Arabidopsis thaliana: one gene and its partners. The protein of the gene in region 2 purifies or fractionates together with the protein of the main gene of each other region. This does not show direct contact. Each region holds a gene or a part of one and is shown on either strand. Other genes may lie near its edges. The genes, in order: IMD1, iPGAM2, IMD2 and AT1G72810.

Region 1 (4,979 bases), on a different chromosome or scaffold from region 2:
ATAGCTATATAGAAAAAAAAAGAATGTCGTACGTACATCATGTTCTTCGCACTTGTAACCAAATATGTGAACAGAAGAAGCGCATATGCCGCCGGCAGCAGTCCTCTGCGGTGGCTGTCCGGCAAGCCTGCCGAAGGTTCCACGAGCTTCAAGGGTCTTGAGGGAAAGAGCGAAGAAGATTAAGACAGATAAGGCTAAACCGATTGAAACGGACGGAACCATAACCGAACCGGCCATTGAGATATATATAGGGGTTATCACGTACGTTTATAGGAAAGTGAAAATGGTTTTATATAGAGAGAAGGGGTGACGGATAAGATAATAGAAAATGGAATTATTAGCTATTTATAAAAATGCAAAACCACGTTAGCAACTATGGATAGACAAAAACTTATTTAGAAAAAAAAACAATTTATGGTGTGTAAACATAAATTAAGAATTGAATCATGCACAAAAAATAAGACAAGCATTTATGAATAGTTTCTAGAAGTGGTGAATCATCCACTGCTATCGTCGATACAACATTTACTAAAGTTTCTATATATAAGTGGAGGGATGATCAGTGTGACCATGCCATGATTTCTAACTTTTTTGAGAGAGCGAGGTTATTATGATAAACATTTAAAATAATACGTGGAACTGAGATGAATGGAAAATAATCTTTATAAAAGAGAAAAAAAAAAATAGAAGATCTCATGATAATAAAAGTACTTCCATATGTTTTCAATGTGAAGAAAAGAATAGTAAAGGAGATACATCCAATAGCTTAGTCTAGAAAAGAGCTGACTAATTTTTTTTAAAAACAAGATCTCTGGTTTGTATATTTGTATCGATTACACAGCCTAGATATATAAAACACAAAACTTGATGGAGACAATTTCATATCCTATATATACACATTAATTTAATGAGTGAATAGTAATAGCAACTAGCAAGGCAATCTAAACAAAATTAAGAAAAGAAAAATGTTAAATTCCTGAGATCTATAATAACTCATAAGCAAAAAATATATTTAAAAAAATCATACAAATGTTGTAATAATATCATTTTGTTTTAATGTGGAGTGATAAAAAGAAGATAGGACGAAAGAAGAAACTGTTAAAGGCGATTGTAGATGCTGTAGGGACGGATAAATGGACTATGACATCAGTTTCCGTTACTTGTTTCTTCTCGAACTCAAAGAAGAAAGAAAAAAAAAAAAAAAATTCTACATCGGTACGCTTTCGTTTCACACCCTGCATGCACACAGTGTCCGGTAGTCAAAAATACAAAAAAAAGAAAAAAAACCTCGAGACATGCTAAATTTGGATAATGATTAATAATTTGGGGGTACACAATGTTCCAAATAATTTATATACAAAGTCTTGCTTTCATATTATTTGTGTGTCCACACTTCAACAATATAGTATTATACTATTATCCCTATCCCCTATGAAGTATGAACACACTTTTTATGATACGTATCATATTCAGAAAACATCAAAAATTGGTCATAACTCTCACGTGGTGTGGTGGATTTGCCTCGCCTTTCGTTTCTGTTTTTTGCAAATATTTAAGAATCTTTGGTCATTTAGGCTTTAATTTAGTTACTTTAAATTTATTTTTGTTATAGAAGTATTATGTTAAAAACAGTTCGTGTTCATCCTTGGACTAACCAGACGATTTGACAAAATCCGAATATCCGATCATAAAATTAAATAATCAGCCGTTATTGTTCCTCTACTACTACGTTTTAACTTTTAAGAACTTCTCCTGGTACTTTGATGGGCTATAAGAGCGGCCCAATATTTCGACTTTAAAATGGGCCAATCTTTGGTAAAGGCCCAATTATAGTGGCGCTTCTTCTTCTTCTTTTCCTAAACAAGCAATGGCATGGTTTAGCTGGTGAGCCAGTTTATAGGTAAAAAGGATAATTTAAGCCATTTAAAAAAACAAATCTTTAATGGCGTAATTCAAAAAACGTGCACACCTATCTAAGTACCAAACTCTTTATGTTATATAACTATTGTGACACAATTTCAAATTTGCTAACTCCCAAAAAAAATGGCGGCGTTTTTGCAAACGAACATCAGTCTGAATGCGATCAAGATCGTCCCGGGGAAATACAGTTCTCTCACCGATCATCAGTTTCGTGCGCCGTATCGAATTAGGTGCGCCGCCGCTTCACCTGGGAAAAAACGGTATAACATCGCTCTGCTTCCCGGAGACGGTATCGGTCCAGAAGTTATCTCTGTTGCTAAGAATGTGCTTCAGAAAGCTGGATCTCTCGAAGGTTCTTTCTCTTTCTCAATGGTTTTTGGAAACAACGAGTGTGTTTGCTTAGCCAGTAGATGATTGTGTCTTTGCTTTTGTATCACAGGACTGGAGTTTGATTTCAAGGAGATGCCTGTCGGAGGAGCAGCCTTGGATTTGGTTGGAGTTCCATTGCCGGAGGAAACTTTCACGGCTGCAAAACTATCTGATGCCATTCTTCTTGGAGCTATTGGAGGGTATGTGTGTGAGTGCTGTTTCTTTAGCAATCTGCTTCCAAATTTATTCTGATCTTGAGGTTTGGATGATTATTGTTCAGGTACAAATGGGACAAGAATGAGAAACATCTGAGACCTGAGATGGCTCTGTTTTACCTTAGAAGAGATCTCAAAGTCTTTGCTAATTTGAGACCTGCTACAGTTTTGCCACAGGTATCTTCGGTTTTGATTTGCTTAGCACTTGAATTTTGCTTCTAGTTGTAAATAAACTCAAATGTTTCTGTTTTGCTTGTTCAGCTAGTTGATGCTTCCACACTGAAGAAAGAAGTAGCAGAAGGTGTTGATATGATGATTGTTAGGGAGCTCACAGGAGGTATTTACTTTGGAGAGCCAAGAGGCATTACGATCAATGAAAATGGCGAAGAAGTCGGCGTTAGTACAGAGATCTACGCTGCTCACGAGGTAATAACCCTTCACACTGTGCTCTGTGACAATATTGGCAATGTATGGATATTAATGCATTGATTTATGTTCTTCAGATTGACAGAATTGCTCGTGTAGCATTCGAGACTGCTAGGAAAAGGCGTGGCAAACTTTGTTCTGTTGACAAAGCCAATGTGTTGGATGTACGTTCTGTTAGTTCACTGAATTGTTTTTCCACTTTTGTGTGTTTTACGAAATGCAAATTTCTTTGTTTCATGTAGGCATCAATATTGTGGAGGAAAAGAGTAACAGCTTTAGCCTCTGAATATCCAGATGTTGAACTATCACATATGTATGTCGATAATGCTGCAATGCAGCTTATTCGTGACCCGAAACAGGTGCTTCTCGCACATATATCAAACTTAGTCGTTGATTAAGCTAACTCAGAAGTGGAACTAGTACTCACGGTGTTTTTAAAACAATGCAGTTTGACACAATCGTTACCAATAACATTTTTGGTGATATATTGTCTGATGAAGCTTCAATGATCACTGGAAGCATTGGAATGCTTCCATCTGCTAGTCTCGGTGAATCGGTAAACAAAATTAACTAACATCTTTCAAGGCTCCTCCTGTTTATAAACTAATGCGAAATGTTAAACTTGTGATGAAATCAGGGACCTGGACTCTTTGAACCTATACATGGTTCAGCACCAGATATAGCTGGACAAGACAAGGCAAACCCATTGGCCACCATTCTCAGCGCGGCGATGCTTCTGAAGTATGGACTTGGAGAAGAAAAGGCTGCAAAGAGGATTGAAGACGCTGTCGTGGATGCTCTGAACAAAGGGTTCAGAACCGGAGACATCTACTCCCCTGGAAATGTATGTGCATGATGATTCTTATCATTTGTTTTGTACAAGTTCGTAACAAAATACTTAAAAAAGTCTTTTGTGTTTTGAAAATGCAGAAACTGGTGGGATGCAAGGAAATGGGTGAGGAGGTTCTCAAATCAGTGGAATCCAAAGTTCCAGCTACTGTTTAAGTTTATTGATGATTTGAAGCACTTGAAAAAGTTTGTGTAGCACTTGGTTTTACGGTCACTTATATGCTAATCCATGCAACATTGTACCTTTTATAATAAATAAATTATTTGGGATCGATTCTGCAATTCAAAGACAAGATTCTCCAAAAACATTTGACAGGTCTCCTGCCTTTACTTACCTTGTTCTTGAAGATTGAGAATTTCTCTTCAACTACAAGACTCAATATCTTCTTCAATCAATATTTGTTTAACGAAATAAGTTTCAAGAGAAGACAAGCTACTATGATTTTTAGTCTCAAGAGTCTTACATTTTTATACTGAAAACCAAACTTATAGAGCTTTACATTTAGAAAACCGAAAAAACTATCAATCATTAGGTTAGCCTTTGGATTCACGACGACGTATCAGATTTGCGTTCAGCGTCTGCGGCAGACTGCATTTGAGCTGCGTATTGTAAGTTCCAGAGAACATCTTCAAAGGAAGGTCTTGCGGAAGGTTCAAGCAAAACACATTTATTGGCGATTGAGATCGCAATCGATAAAGACTCCTGCGAGCTTGTTGTTAGGACTGTTGGACTTACTATTTTCTGCCGACCGTCTTGGCTCCCAAATGATGTCTGCAAACACAACATTGCAGCAACAGCTATTAACCAAATTTGTTTCAATCAAATAACAATGATGATGCTTTTTTTTTTTGCTTTTTCTCTTTGTTACCATTTCGTTGAGAAGAAAAGCCTCTCCTTTTGTAGTGGGCACTGGTCCTATCAGAGATTCCAGAAGTATGAATCCGAAGTTGTACACATCGTCCTCTCTTTTAGCCTTTTTCCTGCATAATCTCAAAGTTTGGATTAGATTCTCATAAATGCCATGGAGTTTTGCTATACAAGGACAAAAGATGCATACTTTGACTTGTGGGTTTCTGACTTTGTCTGCAAAATGTAGAAGCAGGAGTAAAGTAGAGTCCTGAGTTAGTGTCAAAGAAGATCATACAAAATGAAGATAAACACAGTGAAAGAGAGTAAATAGAGCAAACCTCAAGCTTTTC
Region 2 (5,758 bases):
AAAATAGGGTCACAGAGTCTCGGTCGTCACTCGCCAGTGGGGACGAGTTATTATCTGCTGCAAAAAAACTATTTGGGCCTTGCAATTTAATATCCGTTGGATCTTACTGATTTAACCCTAAGAACTTGTTAACCGTTGGTTATGTTTACTTTGTGAAAGAATTGTTATTCTTTCTGATGGTACGACTTTACTTGCTAACCGTTAGATCTTGCCCTAGGAATCTGGACCGTTATTTGGTAACGTTGAGGGCAAATAGTGAATGGACGGCTGGAAGGGTAGCGTGGAAAATTATTTTGTCGACCATACCGAACCAGATCAATTTGCAAATATCTTATGCCAAAATTATTATTATGAAAGGAAATAAATTGAAGTGTTCAATTTTATTTTAAATGCCAGATTTTTACAACTTTGTTTATTTTCTTCTATATGAATATGATATTTGTGAATATACAAAAAAAAAAAAAGTAATAATAAACTGATCTAGTATTTTTCACAAATAGTGATATTTTTCTAAATCAACTTGGTTACAAAGATAATTTTTCTATATGCTACGTTTCTTTTCAACTTTCTCTATTGTTCTCCCATGTGTTACGAATGTTCAGCAACTGCCCTTAAAGTCTCATACCTTTAACTTTACATGAAAGGTTTCTTTTATTTAATTCGTTTAGTTATTTGGAGAACATTTTTTAATGAAGTTATGTTTTGGCGAAATAGATAAATCAAATTTAGTCTGTGAATTGAACAACATCGTGAGAGGGCCGGCGAGTATACAGTATGGCTCCCAAAAAATCACGAGCCTTATTAGAGAGCGGTGAAAATAGTAACTTAAAAGAGAATCAGAGTCTATAGAGGCTCAGGTGGGACTTTTAAAAAGAACTACAACAACAAGAATCATCACTTCTCGACGACTTCGATCAGACTTGTCTCATAGTCACTCGGGGCCACAAATCCATGGAGGTTCATCACTGTCGCAGCTACATTTGCAAGCCCAGGTGTCTCGATATCCTGTCTAAACCTAACTCCTGCTGACAAGCCAGGACCTCCTATGGCAATTGGCACCTGCACACACACATCATGTCCAAATTTCATATAAGATACACCAACCACTTCTGGTATTACAACCCCTCATGCTTAATCTATGCTCAGTTGCAATGGTCATAACACGAACTGTTTTAGTAGTGCTAGAACTTACTGGTTTAAGGGTGTGAGAGGTAAGAATCTGAAGGTTCCCTTCCTTATCGAGAGCAGGCTTGCCGGATTTGTCCCTTTTAACCATGTCCTCAGCATTTCCGTGATCTGCAGTCACAACGTATATCCCTCCGACCTGTTCTATGGCATCAAGGATTGTCTGCAAACCAGGACACCAAAACTAAGTGAGTCATTGCTACTAAGAACGGTTTCTAACATTCCCATGTCACAAATTTATTGAAATCATACCCTCACAGCACGATCAGCAGCTTCACAGGCAACAACAGTTGCTTCAATATCACCAGTATGCCCCACCATATCTCCATTTGGCAGGTTTACACGCACCTGAAAATCCATTGGCACCAAACTCAGAAGCCAATTGTTTTAATGGGTTGATACAATGTGATAAGAGAATACACCTTACCTGGTCAAACTTGCCACTAAGGATAGCATCCCTTGCTTTCTCGGCAATTTCCAGTGCTTTCATCTTTGGCTGGACATTGAATGATATTCCACTATCACTTGGAATCTCAACGTACTCTTCTAACTTTTCATTGAAATATCCAGAGCGGTTGCCATTCCAGAAGAAGGTTACATGGCCAAACTTCACAGTCTCACTGTTTCAGTGAAATAAAATTTTAATAGGTTAATAGCTGAGAATTCATTCATTATATGTAACTAACCATCAACGGTATAATCTCATCAAGAAAAAGTGAGCTAGGAGATTTCACTAGTTTTAATCAACAAACAACCCCCAATCATAAATTAGACCTCTACCGAGCAAGTAAAGAAGACTGGATTACTCTTATCACAGTTTCAATTATGAATCCAATTCCAGCAAATAAATAAACCAGGAAGCAGCAATAGAAGAAAATGGCAAAGACAATAACTAAAGATTTGAGAGATTCTAAAAGTTAACCTGCAAGCAAAAGTACGAACGCCATTGTGTGCCAGATATTCACCAGAAGTTCTGTCAATCAATGGTGGAGAAACAAGATAGCGGCTAGGAAGCTTAAGCTCTCCATCATATTGGAGCATTCCTGCATAACGTATATCAGGGACACGTACGCGATCAAACTTGTCGAAATCTTTGTATTCGAGGGCCTTTGCATGCATGACCATTCGATCAGCACGGAAATTGAATGTAACAACTGCGTCACCATCAACAATTGGACCCACAGCCTTTCCATTATCATCAACAATAACAAACGAAGGCAAATACTGGTCATTGGCACCAGGTTCTGCCCTCAGTGTCTTAACTGCTTCAAGAGCGCTTTTAAATTTGTGGGGAGCTTCCCCAAGGACTTGTGCATCCCAACCTCGTTTAACAACACTCCAATCATTCTGCAAGGAAGGAAAGCAAAAATTGGATTCATTTCTAAACTAGACTAGACAAGGCATGACATTCATACAAGATCTCACAAGCATTGCCTACCTCATAACGGTCCATTGTGACATACATTCGACCTCCACCAGATGCAACCTGAGCATCAACACCTTTCGCACGTAAAGCAGCTAGGTCAGCTTCAAGAGTTTCAACAAATCCGACACTAGAACCATCCAAAACATCACGACCATCAGTAAGAATATGGACGCGGATTCTCTTAGCACCACGTTCTGCAAAACCCTTAAGCAGCAACTGCACCAAACAGAACCAAATTAAAGAAAATTAACAAACGCCAACGTTTCAAAAGAAATGTGTAACAGATGAGAATTAAGTACCTGGACTTGATCCAAACGAGAGTGAACTCCACCATCGCTTAGAAGACCAATAAGGTGCACAGTGCCTTTCTCAAAAGATTGAGAGATGTATTTGAAACCTTCATCTTCATAGATTTTCCCTGAAGCAAGGGCGAGATCAACAAGCTTAGCACCTTGAGCGTAAATTCGACCAGCTCCAAGAGCATTGTGGCCAACTTCACTGTTTCCCATGTCGTCTTCGCTGGGGAGACCAACGGCGGTACCATGAGCTTTGATCAACCTCCATGTGTCGGGCTTCCCCTGTGAAGAATAAAATCGAACCGTTGAAGTCCATAATCGGAATCCAGCGAAATCATCGAGGAAAGAAGTGGATATAAACAAAAAAGGAAACATACGTCTTTAAGGGAATCCATGGCAGGAGTTGGAGCTTTATGGATGCAATTGTATTGATCGGGATCAGATTCACCCCATCCATCGAGAACAATCAAACCGATAGTTTTGCCTTTGGGAAGCTTGGGGTGGTCCGCAAGTTTCCAGTTAACGTCGCCGGAGCTACCCATAACTGTGGATTCAGATCCACTCGTCGGTGAGAAATTAAAGGTTTAAGGAACAGATCTGAGAAGCGAGAGAGAGAGAGATAACGGAAGCTTACCAGCGGAGAAACAGAGGAAAGCTTCTCAAAGAGTCTTATGGAGATTCGCAGAGACAGAAGTGGTTATGTGGTGAAGTATGGTAGGTTGAGAGCTATCACTGACATAATATGAGACTTTTATAGAAACATAGAAATGGAAAAGTTAGCGATGACGTGGTACCAATTTAATGGGCTTTACTTTGGGCTCAAGTAAACATTGTGAAGCCCCCAAAAAAATGGAAGGAGACGAATGTTCTAGTTTTAGCTGCTATGAACGAATGTTCTGGATCATGCCGTTTGTAATAGTCATGGTGTGCGCCATGTAAAAAAAATTGTATATACCTTTTTATTTTGGTCAACGTAAAAAATAGCATACAGAAAAGGTCAAACCGGAGTTAACTTAATAGTTTATACGGTATTTGAACCAGAATTTGATCAAAAATGGGTAAGTTTTAGTAACTGGGATTACATTAATTTCTGTTGACAGTAACTTTTTTTTATCTAAATCATTATTTAAACCTTGAGATTGCATTAAATCAAACTGAAATTACACGAAAACCAAACCGAAAACTCATGTAAGAAATTCAGGGTTGTGCACATTTATTTATTCAATATCATCATAATATTAACTGGGAACCTTCAAAAGGTTGGTAGAAGGCTAAAAAACAATTTCTAATGGGCCAAAGACAAAAAGTTGAGTTCCTATATATTGGGCTTAAAAAGCCTGAAACTAGATGAGACGTGGTTCATAGTCAGATAAATGGGCCAAGGATAAGGAAAGACAAAAACAAAAGTAGAAAAGAATCATACAGTATACATATATGGGAAATATACAGAGAGAGATACAGATAACACAATAAGAGGTAGACGGACAACTGTTACGGCGAAATTGAATGCCGCAATGTATCAATATGATTGGTCGAAAAGGAAAGTAAAAAAAACAAACAAAATATTAAATTTTTGTTAATGTGTAAAGGGAGAAAAAATCAGATGAACAGGCTGTATCATTTTTTTTTTTGTGAACAAATGGGACTGACGACAACACTCTTCTTCTCCTTTTTGTCCTTTTGGCTCTCTCCTTCTCTCCTTTCTCTCTCTCTCTCTTTTCCACCGGCGACCATTCATTCTCTCTCCTCCTCCTCCTCCTCCTCCTCCTCAGCTTCCTCCATTGCTCCTTAACCCTCATTCCTCGATTTGTTCTTCTCTTCACCATTTCCCCTTTTTACCCTTTTTCTACTCAGACGTGACGGCGACTTTTTATTCCTGTGTCTCCCACCTTTGACTCGCCCTGGGGGGATTTTTTTTTGCTCCAGAGGCGAAAGAAACAAAAAAAAGCAATGGGGTTTCTCCGTTGTCTCCAGCTGCTGCTGCTTCTGTTTCTATCTCTTCGTCTACAAAAGCTCTCTGCTCAATCTTCTTCACCCAATGCTTCTTCTTCTTCTTCACTCGATGCTCTTCTTCAAGATTACTCTTTTAGAGCCTTGCTTCGTCCTCGTACCGGCATTCTCTACGAGGCTACTACTGTTCCTTCCAATTTGACTGGGATCAAACTCGCTGCTATGAGACTCAGAAGCGGAAGCTTTAGAAAACGTGGAGTCACTCCTTTTAATGAGTTCTCAATTCCCAGCGGCGTTATCGTCAAGCCGTATGTGACAAGGCTTGTTTTGGTTTATCAAAACCTAGCTAATTTCTCTCACTTGTATTACCCTTTGTCTGGTTATGATTATGTCGCTCCTGTCTTGGGTCTTCTCGCTTACGATGCTAAGAATCTCTCTGCGCTTAATTTGCCTCAGCTTGATTTAAGGGTGTCTAATGATCCTATCAGAATCGATTTCTCTGATCTGGAACGAATCCCGCAAGGGTCTAGTGCTAAGTGTGTTAGATTCGATTCTAAAGGTGAAGCGAGTTTCAGCGATTCGATTCAGCCTGGAAACACATGCGAGACTGAGCATCAGGGACATTTCTCTGTGGTGGTGAAATCTGTGGCTTCTGCTCCGAGTCTAGCTCCTCCTGGGATTGAGAGTAAGAAGAAGAAGAAGAGCTCTGATTCCAATTCCAAGACTTGGATCATTGTTGGGTCGGTGGTTGGTGGATTGATACTGTTGGGGCTTTTACTGTTTCTGGTTTTGAGATGTCGAAATTACAAGAAGCAAGAGAAAATGAGGGAGATGGAGAGAGCTGGAGAGACAGGGGAAGCTCTGAGGATGACTCAGGTTGGTGAAACAAGAGCACCAACTG
Region 3 (4,915 bases), on a different chromosome or scaffold from region 2:
TGAGAGTGAAAGCGAGTTTCTGTCATCGGTAGTATGAAGCTTACTGAGAATGTCCCAAACCAAATGGTCTGGCAATTCATCCATTTGTCTATCTGTGTGAACAAAAAAGGATCAAAGCCTAACATGTCAAGTGAAAAGTCCACCTTGAAAACACAAAACAGAGCTTTGATGGAACTCAGAGATTATGCAGAAAAACGAAGGCGTTTGACTTTTTACTTACCACCACCAAGATACGCAATCCCAATGAACATTCAAAAAGCCATGAAAATTTCCAGAAACAAAATTGATAAGATAGAAATAAAAAACAGAGGAAAAACTCATCAGAGATGTCTAAATTGTGAATTAGTTCCCAAGCAGAGATTTAGATTTCTTGAACATAATAATGAATAATCAAGAAATAACAAAAATTCACATCCTTGATTCATCGATTAAACTCAGCTCTAAAAGTAGGCTTGCCATGAAACAGAAATCAGAGGAAAAAGATCTCACCGGAAAGAGCGAAAACTCTTGCGACGTTTGACCACACTCGGCGCCGGATAAGGACTACGGGGGAGATTGAATCTTTTTTGTCTCTCTAATTTTTGGCTTTTTGAGTGATACTCTGACACGTCATTATCTCCACAAGGATATTTATTTCTCAGAAAAAAACATCAACGTTTCAGTTCGATCAAATAAGTCCCTCTAATAATCTCACATTATAAAAATCGCTAATAAAACCGAGACTCTTTGAGTACAAGGTACAACATTTGTTGTTGGAAATGAACTCTTCAAAGTTTCTACAAATATTAAACAGAAGCTGGAACTTGGGAGTCCACTGACTTCAGAACCTCCTCTCCCATCTCCTTGCAGCCCACCAGTTTCTGATCATACCCCATACAAAAAGACAAAAAAATATTACTACTGTTTGTTGTTGCCTGCTTGTTTAAACGTTTCTCAAACACTAACTCGGGACGTTTTTAAGGAAAAGGAAACATGTTATAAGAGTGGTTCAAGAAACATACTGTTCCCGCGGAGTATATGTCTCCAGTTCTGAATCCGTTGTTCAGAGCAACCAACACTGCGTCTTCAATTCTCTTGGCTGCCTTTTCTTCTCCAAGTCCGTATTTCAGAAGCATTGCAGCGCTTAGAATGGTTGCCAATGGGTTTGCCTTATCCTGAAAATTCAAAGAATCAACAAGTTGTGCTCTTTGATTTTGGCATTAAACTAGTTTTGATATCAGGGAACAAAAACCGTGTTTGTTTGAAGGATAGAGTTAGAACCTGTCCAGCAATATCAGGTGCAGAACCATGTATAGGTTCAAAGAGTCCAGGTCCCTGTATTACACATGGCGGGTTTATGTTCAGACTAGATCATACTGCTTGCATACTAAAAGATCATATTATTTTATATCATACCGAATCACTGAGACTAGCAGATGGCAGCATTCCTATGCTTCCTGTGATCATTGAAGCTTCATCGGATAATATATCACCAAAAATGTTGTTTGTGACGATGGTGTCAAACTGCATTTATCAAACAATCAAATAATTGCAAGGATTTACACCTGTCGCACATCAAAGCTGACTAGTTTGGCAAATACAAAGTACACGTACCTGTTTTGGGTCACGAACAAGCTGCATCGCGGCATTGTCAACATACATATGTGACAGCTCAACATCAGGATATTCAGAGGCTAATGCTGTTACTCGTTTCCTCCATAAGATTGAGGCCTGCATATAAAAAAATTCAGTGTTATGTTCGTTCCACAGGAAACAAGAGAGAGGAAAACAAGTCAAAGAAAACATAATTATCAACCGCACTTCCAAAACATTAGCTTTGTCAACAGAACACAGCTTGCCACGCCGTTTCCGAGCAGTCTCGAAGGCAACACGAGCAATTCTATCAATCTGACGAACATACAAAATGCTTTATTAGATTTGACCCTAGTACTTAACAATCAGTCCACGGAAATCTGCATCTGAGATTTTCAATAGAGTACCTCGTGAGCAGCATAAACCTCAGTATTAAACCCAACTTCCTCGCCATTTTCATTGGTCTTTATGCCCCTTGGCTCTCCAAAGTAAATACCTGTTACCATGAGACATGACATTTTATAAGATATTGTCACACGAGAAAGACAAGAATTACGATCAATTTTTAATAAGTAATAAAACTGACCTCCTGTAAGCTCCCTTACAACCATTAGATCAACACCTTCTGCTACCTCTCTCTTTAAGGTGGAAGCATCCACTAACTGTATAAAAACAACAAAATTAGAGTTTCACACAAGAAACAAAGTTCAGGCAACCAAGAAATCTCTGAGGATGGTCACCTGTGGGAGGACTGTAGCAGGTCTCAGATTTGCAAAGACTTTGAGAGCTGCACGAATCTGAAGTAACCCCTTCTCAGGCCTCAGATGTTTTTCATTGTTATCCCATTTGTACCTTAAGTTATTATTATACCAACATGAGAAAATGACTAAATGAGAAACTGTATTTCCCAAAACAATAATTAAGAGCCAACAAGATTAGTGGGAAAAGAGAGAAGACAGACCCTCCAATGGCTCCAAGAAGCACTGCATCTGATTCTTTTGCAGCTGAGATAGTCTCCTCCGGCAAGGGCACTCCGACCAAATCCAAAGCAGCTCCTCCAATGGGCATCTCACGGAAGTTAAATTCCACTCCTGATACAGAGCACAGACGCAATGTATTAGGCAATCTCCGTGGCCTTTGAGCCCAACCCACGATTGTAAATCCCATTCAAAATCTCGCCAATTTCTAATGCTCACATCTTTCAATTCCAAGCAGAAAACAGTAGTCCCCAATTGAAATGAAACAGCAACTAAATTAAATAAGAAAGGGAACAAGAGAGAGAGAGAGAACCTTCCAAAGATCCAGCTTGCTGAAGCACATTTTTGGCAATGGAGACAACCTCCGGACCGATGCCGTCTCCGGGAAGGAGAGTGATGGTGTATCGTTTTTTACCAGGGGAAGCAACAGCACATCTTACTCTAAAGGGTGCCAATGACTGTTTACTTACAGCTCTGAACGTAGCCGGAACCTTGACCGTCCGGATATTCGTCTGCAGAGCCGCCGCCATTTCAGGGAGAAAGGATTGATTGGTCTTTTTCGGATTTTGAAACCGCAAGTCAAATGGATACTACTAGTACACTCAGACTTTACTTCTTTGCATTTATGGGTCCTTTTTTGCACATTGTTTTATTTTCAGAATTGACCCCAAAGTTTTTAATTTTGTAAATGGACACCTTACATTACCACATACAACATATATATATATATATATATATATATATATATATCCATTTATTAGCAGCACCTCACAGAAGAAGGAGGGCTCATCAAATACTTGAAGAGCCGCACGAAGCTGCAACAAGGCCGTTATCGGCTTCAAATGCTTGGGATTGTTATCCCATTTCGGCCTTCAATTCAAAAATCCAAACTTTAGATGAATCCAAACTTGAGATGAACGAAAGTTATGGTAATAATACCATACCATCCAACAGCTCCGAGAAGAAGAGCGTCTGATTGCTTTGCCCTGATCAATGTTTCCTTAGGCAGTGGAACTCCGACAAGATCTAAAGCAACACCTCCTATAGGCAACTCCTCGAAGCTAAAATCTATCCCTGATATCCAAAAACACGATTTCAGTTGGGAAAATCAAATTAAATTAGGCAACAGGATGAGAAAGAAGGAACCTTCAAGAGACCCAGCTAAACAAAGAACGTCAACAGCGACTGGGATCACTTCGTTACCGACGCCATCGCCGGGAAGAACCGCGATGGTGTACCGTTTCTTTGGAGTGTTGGCGGCACATCTGATCACAGAAGCTCTCCTAAAGCTCTGTTTGGTTGCGGACATAAACGCAACCGGAATCTGGGTACTGCTGACGTGGATGACTCCCGCCATTTACTACAACAAAGACTACAAGGAGACCTGGAAAGAACTTTTGTGTTTATAATCAAACCAATATTAACCGTTCGATTATTTATTTTCACCTCTGGATGGCTCAATTATGATGGGCCTAAGAAAGATTCGTAGAAGATAGATCGGCCCAAATGTTCCAAATATTAACACAAGTCCAGCGGGCTTTGGGCCCATAAATGGTATTCGGGTCAGATTTTAAAATGGGTATTCGGGTCAAAATTCGCCCGTTAGATGATGAACCCTAATTTCGTGTGTACAGGGAGCGGAGAGGGGAAACAAGAGAATGCTCTTGTTGCGGCGACTCAATCGAGTTCGGATTGCTTCCCCTTACTCCGTTCGGCTTCTGTCAGTAAAACCTATTTCAAATGTCGATGATGCGAAGTTTCGATCTCAGGAAGAAGAAGATCAGTCCAGTTACGATCAGAAAACAGTATGCGAAGCTCTCACATGTTACAGCAACGATTGGCAAAAGGCGTTGGAGTTTTTCAACTGGGTCGAGAGAGAATCCGGATTCAGACATACCACCGAGACATTCAATCGGGTGATCGATATTCTGGGTAAGTATTTCGAGTTTGAAATTTCTTGGGCTTTGATTAACCGCATGATCGGAAACACGGAATCTGTGCCGAATCACGTCACGTTTCGTATAGTCTTTAAGCGTTATGTGACGGCTCATCTTGTTCAGGAGGCTATTGATGCGTATGATAAATTGGATGATTTCAATTTGAGAGATGAAACATCATTTTATAATCTGGTCGATGCGCTTTGCGAGCATAAACATGTGGTTGAAGCTGAAGAGCTTTGTTTTGGGAAGAATGTCATTGGTAATGGTTTTAGTGTGAGTAATACTAAGATTCATAATCTGATTCTTCGTGGGTGGTCGAAATTGGGATGGTGGGGTAAATGCAAGGAGTATTGGAAGAAGATGGATACTGAAGGTGTTACTAAGGATCTTTTTTCGTATTCCATTTACATGGATATCATGTGCAAG
Region 4 (5,274 bases), on a different chromosome or scaffold from region 2:
GTTGAAGCAGCTCCTGCTATGATTAAGGCCAAAGACGTGATTTCTCCTTCCGAGAAGGAAGAATCTGATCAGACGGAGATCACGAAAGTATCCGTCTTGAAAAACCTTGATGAGAAGGAGATGATCAAAGAATTCGCTGATCGTCTTCAGCGTCTCGAAGCAAAGGTGGATTTGTTGGTAACAAAGGCGGATTTGTTGGCAATAAAGGCGGATATACAGGAGCTTCTCATCTCAGCCAAGGGTGAGAAAGTTCCTGCCATGAAGACTTCTGCTAAGGCTTCTTCTGAGAGCGATGACTCATACATGGACACTTCTTCGGAGGATGAATCGTCTTCTGCTGAGGAACCTGTAAACAAACCTGCTGCAAGTGCCGCCAAGCCAGCTACTAAAGATTCTTTATTCTCTGCTGGTTTCAAGCCAGCTGCTAAAGATTCTTTATTCTCTGCTGGTTTCAAGCCAGATTCTTTATTCTCTGCTGGTTTCGAGCCAGCTGCTAAAGATTCTTTATTCTCTGCTGGTTTCAAGCCAGGTTCTTTATTCTCTGCTGGTTTCGAGCCAGCTGCTAAAGATTCTTTATTCTCTGCTGGTTTCAAGCCAGATTCTTTATTCTCTGTTGGTGTCAAGCCAGCTGCTAAAGATTCTTTATTTTCTGTTGGTGTCAATGGTCGATCGTTCTCTGTTACGGGATTTGACGCTTCCCTTCCTGTGGATGATATAAAGAGCGCATTGAGTAAATATTTCAGTTCTTTTGGGGAGATCACACGCGTATTTGTTCCCCCAAGCCACGGAACCGGTGGTTCCTTAGGATATGCTTACATTGATCTGAAAGAAGGAGCAGAGAAGGCGTTGGAACTTGGTAGACATGACGTGGGAGGATGGGATCTTGTAGTTGGTAAGGCTGAACCGATTCGCAGTGGAAGTACTTGGCCTTTTCCTGGCCGTTGTGGTAATCAGGGCCGTTGTACCTTCTGTTGAAGGCTTGAACCTTTGGTAGTGCATGAAGGAAGAGACTGCTCGTGGAACTAGATCACCTAGTTTTACTCCCTAAAGTAAGAAGACTACCTAGAAGAAGAGGAACGTTTTAAATTTGTATTACTTGGGAGTTTTTTCTTATGTTCTAGTTAAGTTTTTGACCCAATGTTAATGTTAACTCAATTTTGAGTTCTTTTGGTTTTAAATAAGATGAAAAAAATTCTTGAAGTTAATTTTCTAGATAAGTTTATTGTTTCTTAAAAGATTTAAAAGAAGAGGTTAAAAGACAGGTCGTGAGTACTTTTGTTAAGAGCATATGTAAAACTCAGTAGTAGTTTGATATGAAACAACTAGCGAGCATCACGGAACCAACCAGTCGTTTTATTCCACAAGTCCAAAGAAACGAAATTTCATTACTTCCTCTAATAACAAAGCCAACAATATCATCATAGGACGTGAAGAGCTTTAGAAGAAACAAACACACAAAGCTTATTTATCATTGCTCTTCAAATACTCCTTGAGAACATCCATAACTGAACCAAACTTTGCCTTAACCTTCACTGGTGGATTCGCCAATCTACAAGCCATCTCCTTTATGTTCTTAGAATGATAATCAATCTTACTTTGTGTAAACTTCAATCCATGAGCTGTACTCACCACCACAGTCCGATCATTCGCTCCAATAACTCCTGACTTTCTCAGCTTCATCAACGCCGTCAATGCAACACCAGTATGTGGACATATAAACATACCAGTAGAATCAGCAAGAGCTGTTGCATCCATCAACTCTTCCTCTGTAGCTTCCTCAACAATCCCATTAGATTTCTTCAACGCATACACAGCTCTATCAATCGAAACAGGGTCACCAATCTGAATAGCAGAAGCAAATGTAGTGTTTGCTTTCAATGGATTGAAATCTTCTTTAAACCCAGATTTGTAATGCAAGTAAAGTGGATTTGCATTAGCAGCTTGAGCACAAACAAGCCTAGGGATACGATCAACAAGACCTAACTCTTTACACATATGAAACCCTTTGTAAAACGCATAGATGTTACCAAGATTGCCTCCAGGAACAATGACCCAATCAGGAACTTGCCAATTAAACTGCTGCAGAATCTCAATCGCCGCCGTCTTTTGACCTTCGAGACGGAGGCTGTTGAGAGAGTTCGCCAAGTAAATAGGAAGCTCCGCCGTAACTTCTCTGATCAAATGCATACATCCGTCAAAATCAGTGTCAATACTAAGCACAAACGCTCCGTTTGCAATCGGCTGCACAAGCTGAGCCATGGAGATTTTATCCGCAGGTAAGAAGACAATCGAGGGGATTCCAGCGGAAGCACAGTAAGCAGAGAGAGCAGCGGAGGTATCTCCAGTAGAAGCGCAACCAACTCCGATGACTGGTTTGTTCATTTTCCGGAGACGATTCACCTGAGAAACAAAAAAATAACATAAAGTTGTAAACTTTATTGAAGATGGTTATACAGTTGTAAACTTTATGAAAGATGATTCACCTGAGAAACGAGAACACTCATGCCCAGATCTTTAAAGGAGCCAGTGTGGCTGATTCCACAATGTTTCACCCAAAGATCGTTCATTTGCAGATACTGTTTACCAAATCTCTCAGCCCAGAAGAGATTTGAGTTTCCTTCAAAAGCAGAGACGATGTCGTCATCGTCGATCTCGGGGAGTACCCACTCTTTCTTCGACCACACGCCTGATCCGTACGGCCAATTTGTTTTACCGACGCGAGAATCGAAAAGGTTACGCCAGAATTCTCCGTCGTAGCGTTTCAAGGCGGCGAAATCATGCTGGACGTCGAGGAGAGCACCGGATTGTGAACGGTAGACGATCTCGTCGAGGGAGTAGGATTCTGTTGAAGAAGGTGGAGCGTTGAAAGGGACGTAACGTGCGGAGAGGTTTTGGAGTTGATGAGGACGGCGACGAGCTTCGTCTCGAATGTTCTCATCGGGTGAACGACGGGGTTTCTGTGGAGTCTGTGGAGGAACGGCGGGAGAGGCGGAGGTGCAACGGACGGTGAAGGAAGCGGCGGAGTGAGGTTTAAGTGAGGTTTCAGAGTGGGAAGGAAAGTAGGTGGCGGAGTGGGGAAGAGAGAATGAGGCCATTATGAGTGAGAGAGAGAGTAAAGTGAAGAGTTTGATGATATTGATTGGATAGAAGAATGATTGTTGACACCTTTAGTCACAAGTCACAAGTAATTTATTTATAACCTAATAAATATTGGGACGAAAGTATTCATTTATTGTTTGTTTTTCATTTGTCATTCCAATTTCCAAATTATGTATATATCTCTCTAGTCATGAATTTTCTTTTGATGGTAGAGAAAGCACCAGGGAGAAATGAATCTTTGACGTTCATGAATCTAGTGTGAATTTAGTGTTTAAGATATCAAATATGCAAAAAAAAAAAAAAAACACGTATGTATGGAGTACATGAGACATGTGCCACACATGAAGTATATTCTTATGAGTAAAATGTTACTATTATTTGTATGGATTATTAGTCATGAATTTTCTTTTGATGGTAGAGAAAGAAGCACTAGGGAGAAATGAATCTTTGACATTCATGAATCATGTGTAAATTTTAGTGTTTAAGATATCAAATATGCAACAACAAAAAAAAACACGAATGTATGGACTACATGAGACATGTGCCACACATGAAGTATATTCTTATGAGTAAAATATAATGTTACTATTATTTGTATCTATTGTTCTTTGTTCTTCTAATATATATTTGTGATTTCGTCCCATTTTATTAATCAAATAAATATATTACAAGCGACGGAAACAAAAAATAAATAATAAATGTCACTATCTTTTTGTCATTTTAAAGGACAAAAATAAATAATGAGATGAGACTATGAGAGCAACATTCATACAAAGTAGACGACACTTCATAGTTCATATTAATGTATATAGGTATGGAGTTTATGATCTTAACGTTTTTGGAAAAGAAAAAGAAAGTAAAGGACACCACTAGTTATGGGTCCTCCTTTTCGTCACATTGGGCGGATTGGGTCAAATATACAGTCATTGTGAAAAACCAGCCCAATAAGCTTATACTTCAAATAAAAGACTTGAATTAGAATTGATTCAAACTCTGAATACCTCAACTAACCGTTGTGTGTTCTCTCTAAATTTGGGTAATAGTGTTTTGGGGTTTGGGAGAGAACGACACAATAAATGAGAAGGGATCCCTTTTCTGTATTTTAAAGCGTTTTGATAGGGAACTTGAGAAATTTGATTTCATGATTCGTGTACTTTTTTGTTATGTTTGTGACTCGTGATCTTTTGCTCGATAAAAGCTTTCCATAGTTTTTGTTGGTGCTTTAGTCTGTGGAAACTGCTTATGATTTGGTTCTTTTATCTCCAAGTTGTGGGCTGAAATAATGGTCATCACCAGTTGATACAGAACCAACAGTGTTGTTCGTCACTCAAGCCCATCACAGCTATAATGTTCTTTTTGGAATCAAATCACATGGTTGGAATCAGTCTAAGCTTGTCTACTCACTTTAACATCTAATCTGTTGAAGATAAGGATTAACGATGTAATAAGTAAGCGTGGACCGAAAAAGAAATGTAGTATATGTTTAGGTAGTGGGCATTTCCAAATACTATAGTATTGATTTCTGTTGTATATTTGATTTGATACTAAAATATGTGAAACTCCCAAAGCTAATTAATACTATATTTTTGTAATCAAGTTATGTCAGTAAATGATACAACGACAGAAAAATGATTTCTGTTGGTGTTTGGTAGTATCATACTATTGTCCAAGGACCACCACTGTTCCTATAAATTTAGCATCTCTAGGAGGAACTCTGATAAATCTTTAGATTCTTTTTTCATAAAAAAAAATATAGCTCGAACGATAGTGGAAGTGTAACAGTGAAAAAGAATCAAAAATCACGTGACAGATCACGTGCCTCTCACACTGCCTTCTGCTCTCTTCTCTGCCCAACGACCCAAGGATATGGACGCCACGTCATCTTATCCAAATCACAAAAGCGGATCCATTTTCTCTCTCCTCTGTTGGGTCTGATCCGAGAACAAGATCTTAGCCGTTGTTTTCGATGACGACCTTTTAGCTTTTTTCTATCTCTGCCGTCGATCTTCTTCGTCTTCTAAGAGTGCTCCCAGTTTGTCGCTTTCTTTATCCGTAAGAGTTTAAGACCTTAGTCATGAGTGACACGTGTCACCTGCCAGCATCTGATTTTTACCAGATCTTCCTTATTTCCTTAATAAATCCTTTAATATTCGATAAAAAAAAATCTGTAATTCA

Evidence for each region.
Region 1: the proteins of iPGAM2 (region 2) and IMD1 fractionate together in Arabidopsis thaliana (co-fractionation; one large-scale study listed by BioGRID). This does not show direct contact.
Region 3: the proteins of iPGAM2 (region 2) and IMD2 fractionate together in Arabidopsis thaliana (co-fractionation; one large-scale study listed by BioGRID). This does not show direct contact.
Region 4: the proteins of iPGAM2 (region 2) and AT1G72810 fractionate together in Arabidopsis thaliana (co-fractionation; one large-scale study listed by BioGRID). This does not show direct contact.

The regions. Positions count from the first base shown.
Region 1 is NC_003076.8:4,574,177-4,579,155, forward strand, and holds IMD1 (isopropylmalate dehydrogenase 1), read left to right. Parts: upstream 1-1,946; 5' UTR 1,947-2,043; coding exon 2,044-2,272; intron 2,273-2,359; coding exon 2,360-2,489; intron 2,490-2,569; coding exon 2,570-2,681; intron 2,682-2,765; coding exon 2,766-2,930; intron 2,931-3,007; coding exon 3,008-3,094; intron 3,095-3,172; coding exon 3,173-3,289; coding exon of another isoform or gene 3,290-3,291; intron 3,292-3,378; coding exon 3,379-3,486; intron 3,487-3,567; coding exon 3,568-3,774; coding exon of another isoform or gene 3,775-3,786; exon of another isoform or gene 3,787-3,860; coding exon 3,861-3,935; 3' UTR 3,936-4,226; downstream 4,227-4,979. Other genes in the region: MPL1 (Myzus persicae-induced lipase 1), read right to left, coding at 37-237; AT5G14210 (Leucine-rich repeat protein kinase family protein), read right to left, coding at 4,327-4,551, 4,649-4,760, 4,838-4,863, 4,968-4,979. UniProt on the Arabidopsis thaliana protein: Involved in both glucosinolate and leucine biosynthesis; catalyzes the oxidative decarboxylation step in both leucine biosynthesis (primary metabolism) and methionine chain elongation of glucosinolates (specialized metabolism).
Region 2 is NC_003074.8:2,607,789-2,613,546, forward strand, and holds iPGAM2 (Phosphoglycerate mutase, 2,3-bisphosphoglycerate-independent), read right to left. Parts: upstream 3,768-5,758; 5' UTR 3,542-3,767; exon of another isoform or gene 3,452-3,541; 5' UTR 3,450-3,451; coding exon 3,285-3,449; intron 3,190-3,284; coding exon 2,911-3,189; intron 2,828-2,910; coding exon 2,624-2,827; intron 2,533-2,623; coding exon 2,108-2,532; intron 1,806-2,107; coding exon 1,613-1,805; intron 1,534-1,612; coding exon 1,438-1,533; intron 1,349-1,437; coding exon 1,193-1,348; intron 1,060-1,192; coding exon 895-1,059; 3' UTR 520-894; downstream 1-519. Other genes in the region: AT3G08600 (transmembrane protein, putative (DUF1191)), read left to right, coding at 4,858-5,758.
Region 3 is NC_003070.9:30,285,997-30,290,911, reverse strand, and holds IMD2 (isopropylmalate dehydrogenase 2), read right to left. Parts: upstream 3,150-4,915; 5' UTR 3,080-3,149; coding exon 2,863-3,079; intron 2,664-2,862; coding exon 2,534-2,663; intron 2,425-2,533; coding exon 2,313-2,424; intron 2,235-2,312; coding exon 2,159-2,234; intron 2,069-2,158; coding exon 1,980-2,068; intron 1,888-1,979; coding exon 1,801-1,887; intron 1,711-1,800; coding exon 1,594-1,710; intron 1,504-1,593; coding exon 1,396-1,503; intron 1,315-1,395; coding exon 1,261-1,314; intron 1,155-1,260; coding exon 1,002-1,154; intron 861-1,001; coding exon 786-860; 3' UTR 613-785; downstream 1-612. Other genes in the region: AT1G80570 (RNI-like superfamily protein), read right to left, coding at 1-92, 221-251; AT1G80555 (Isocitrate/isopropylmalate dehydrogenase family protein), read right to left, coding at 3,173-3,419, 3,494-3,623, 3,696-3,906; AT1G80550 (Pentatricopeptide repeat (PPR) superfamily protein), read left to right, coding at 4,208-4,915. UniProt on the Arabidopsis thaliana protein: Involved in leucine biosynthesis; catalyzes the oxidative decarboxylation step in leucine biosynthesis (primary metabolism). Catalyzes the oxidation of 3-carboxy-2-hydroxy-4-methylpentanoate (3-isopropylmalate, 3-IPM) to 3-carboxy-4-methyl-2-oxopentanoate.
Region 4 is NC_003070.9:27,397,299-27,402,572, forward strand, and holds AT1G72810 (Pyridoxal-5'-phosphate-dependent enzyme family protein), read right to left. Parts: upstream 3,177-5,274; 5' UTR 3,096-3,176; coding exon 2,484-3,095; intron 2,401-2,483; coding exon 1,462-2,400; 3' UTR 976-1,461; downstream 1-975. Other genes in the region: AT1G72800 (RNA-binding (RRM/RBD/RNP motifs) family protein), read left to right, coding at 1-975. UniProt on the Arabidopsis thaliana protein: Catalyzes the gamma-elimination of phosphate from L-phosphohomoserine and the beta-addition of water to produce L-threonine.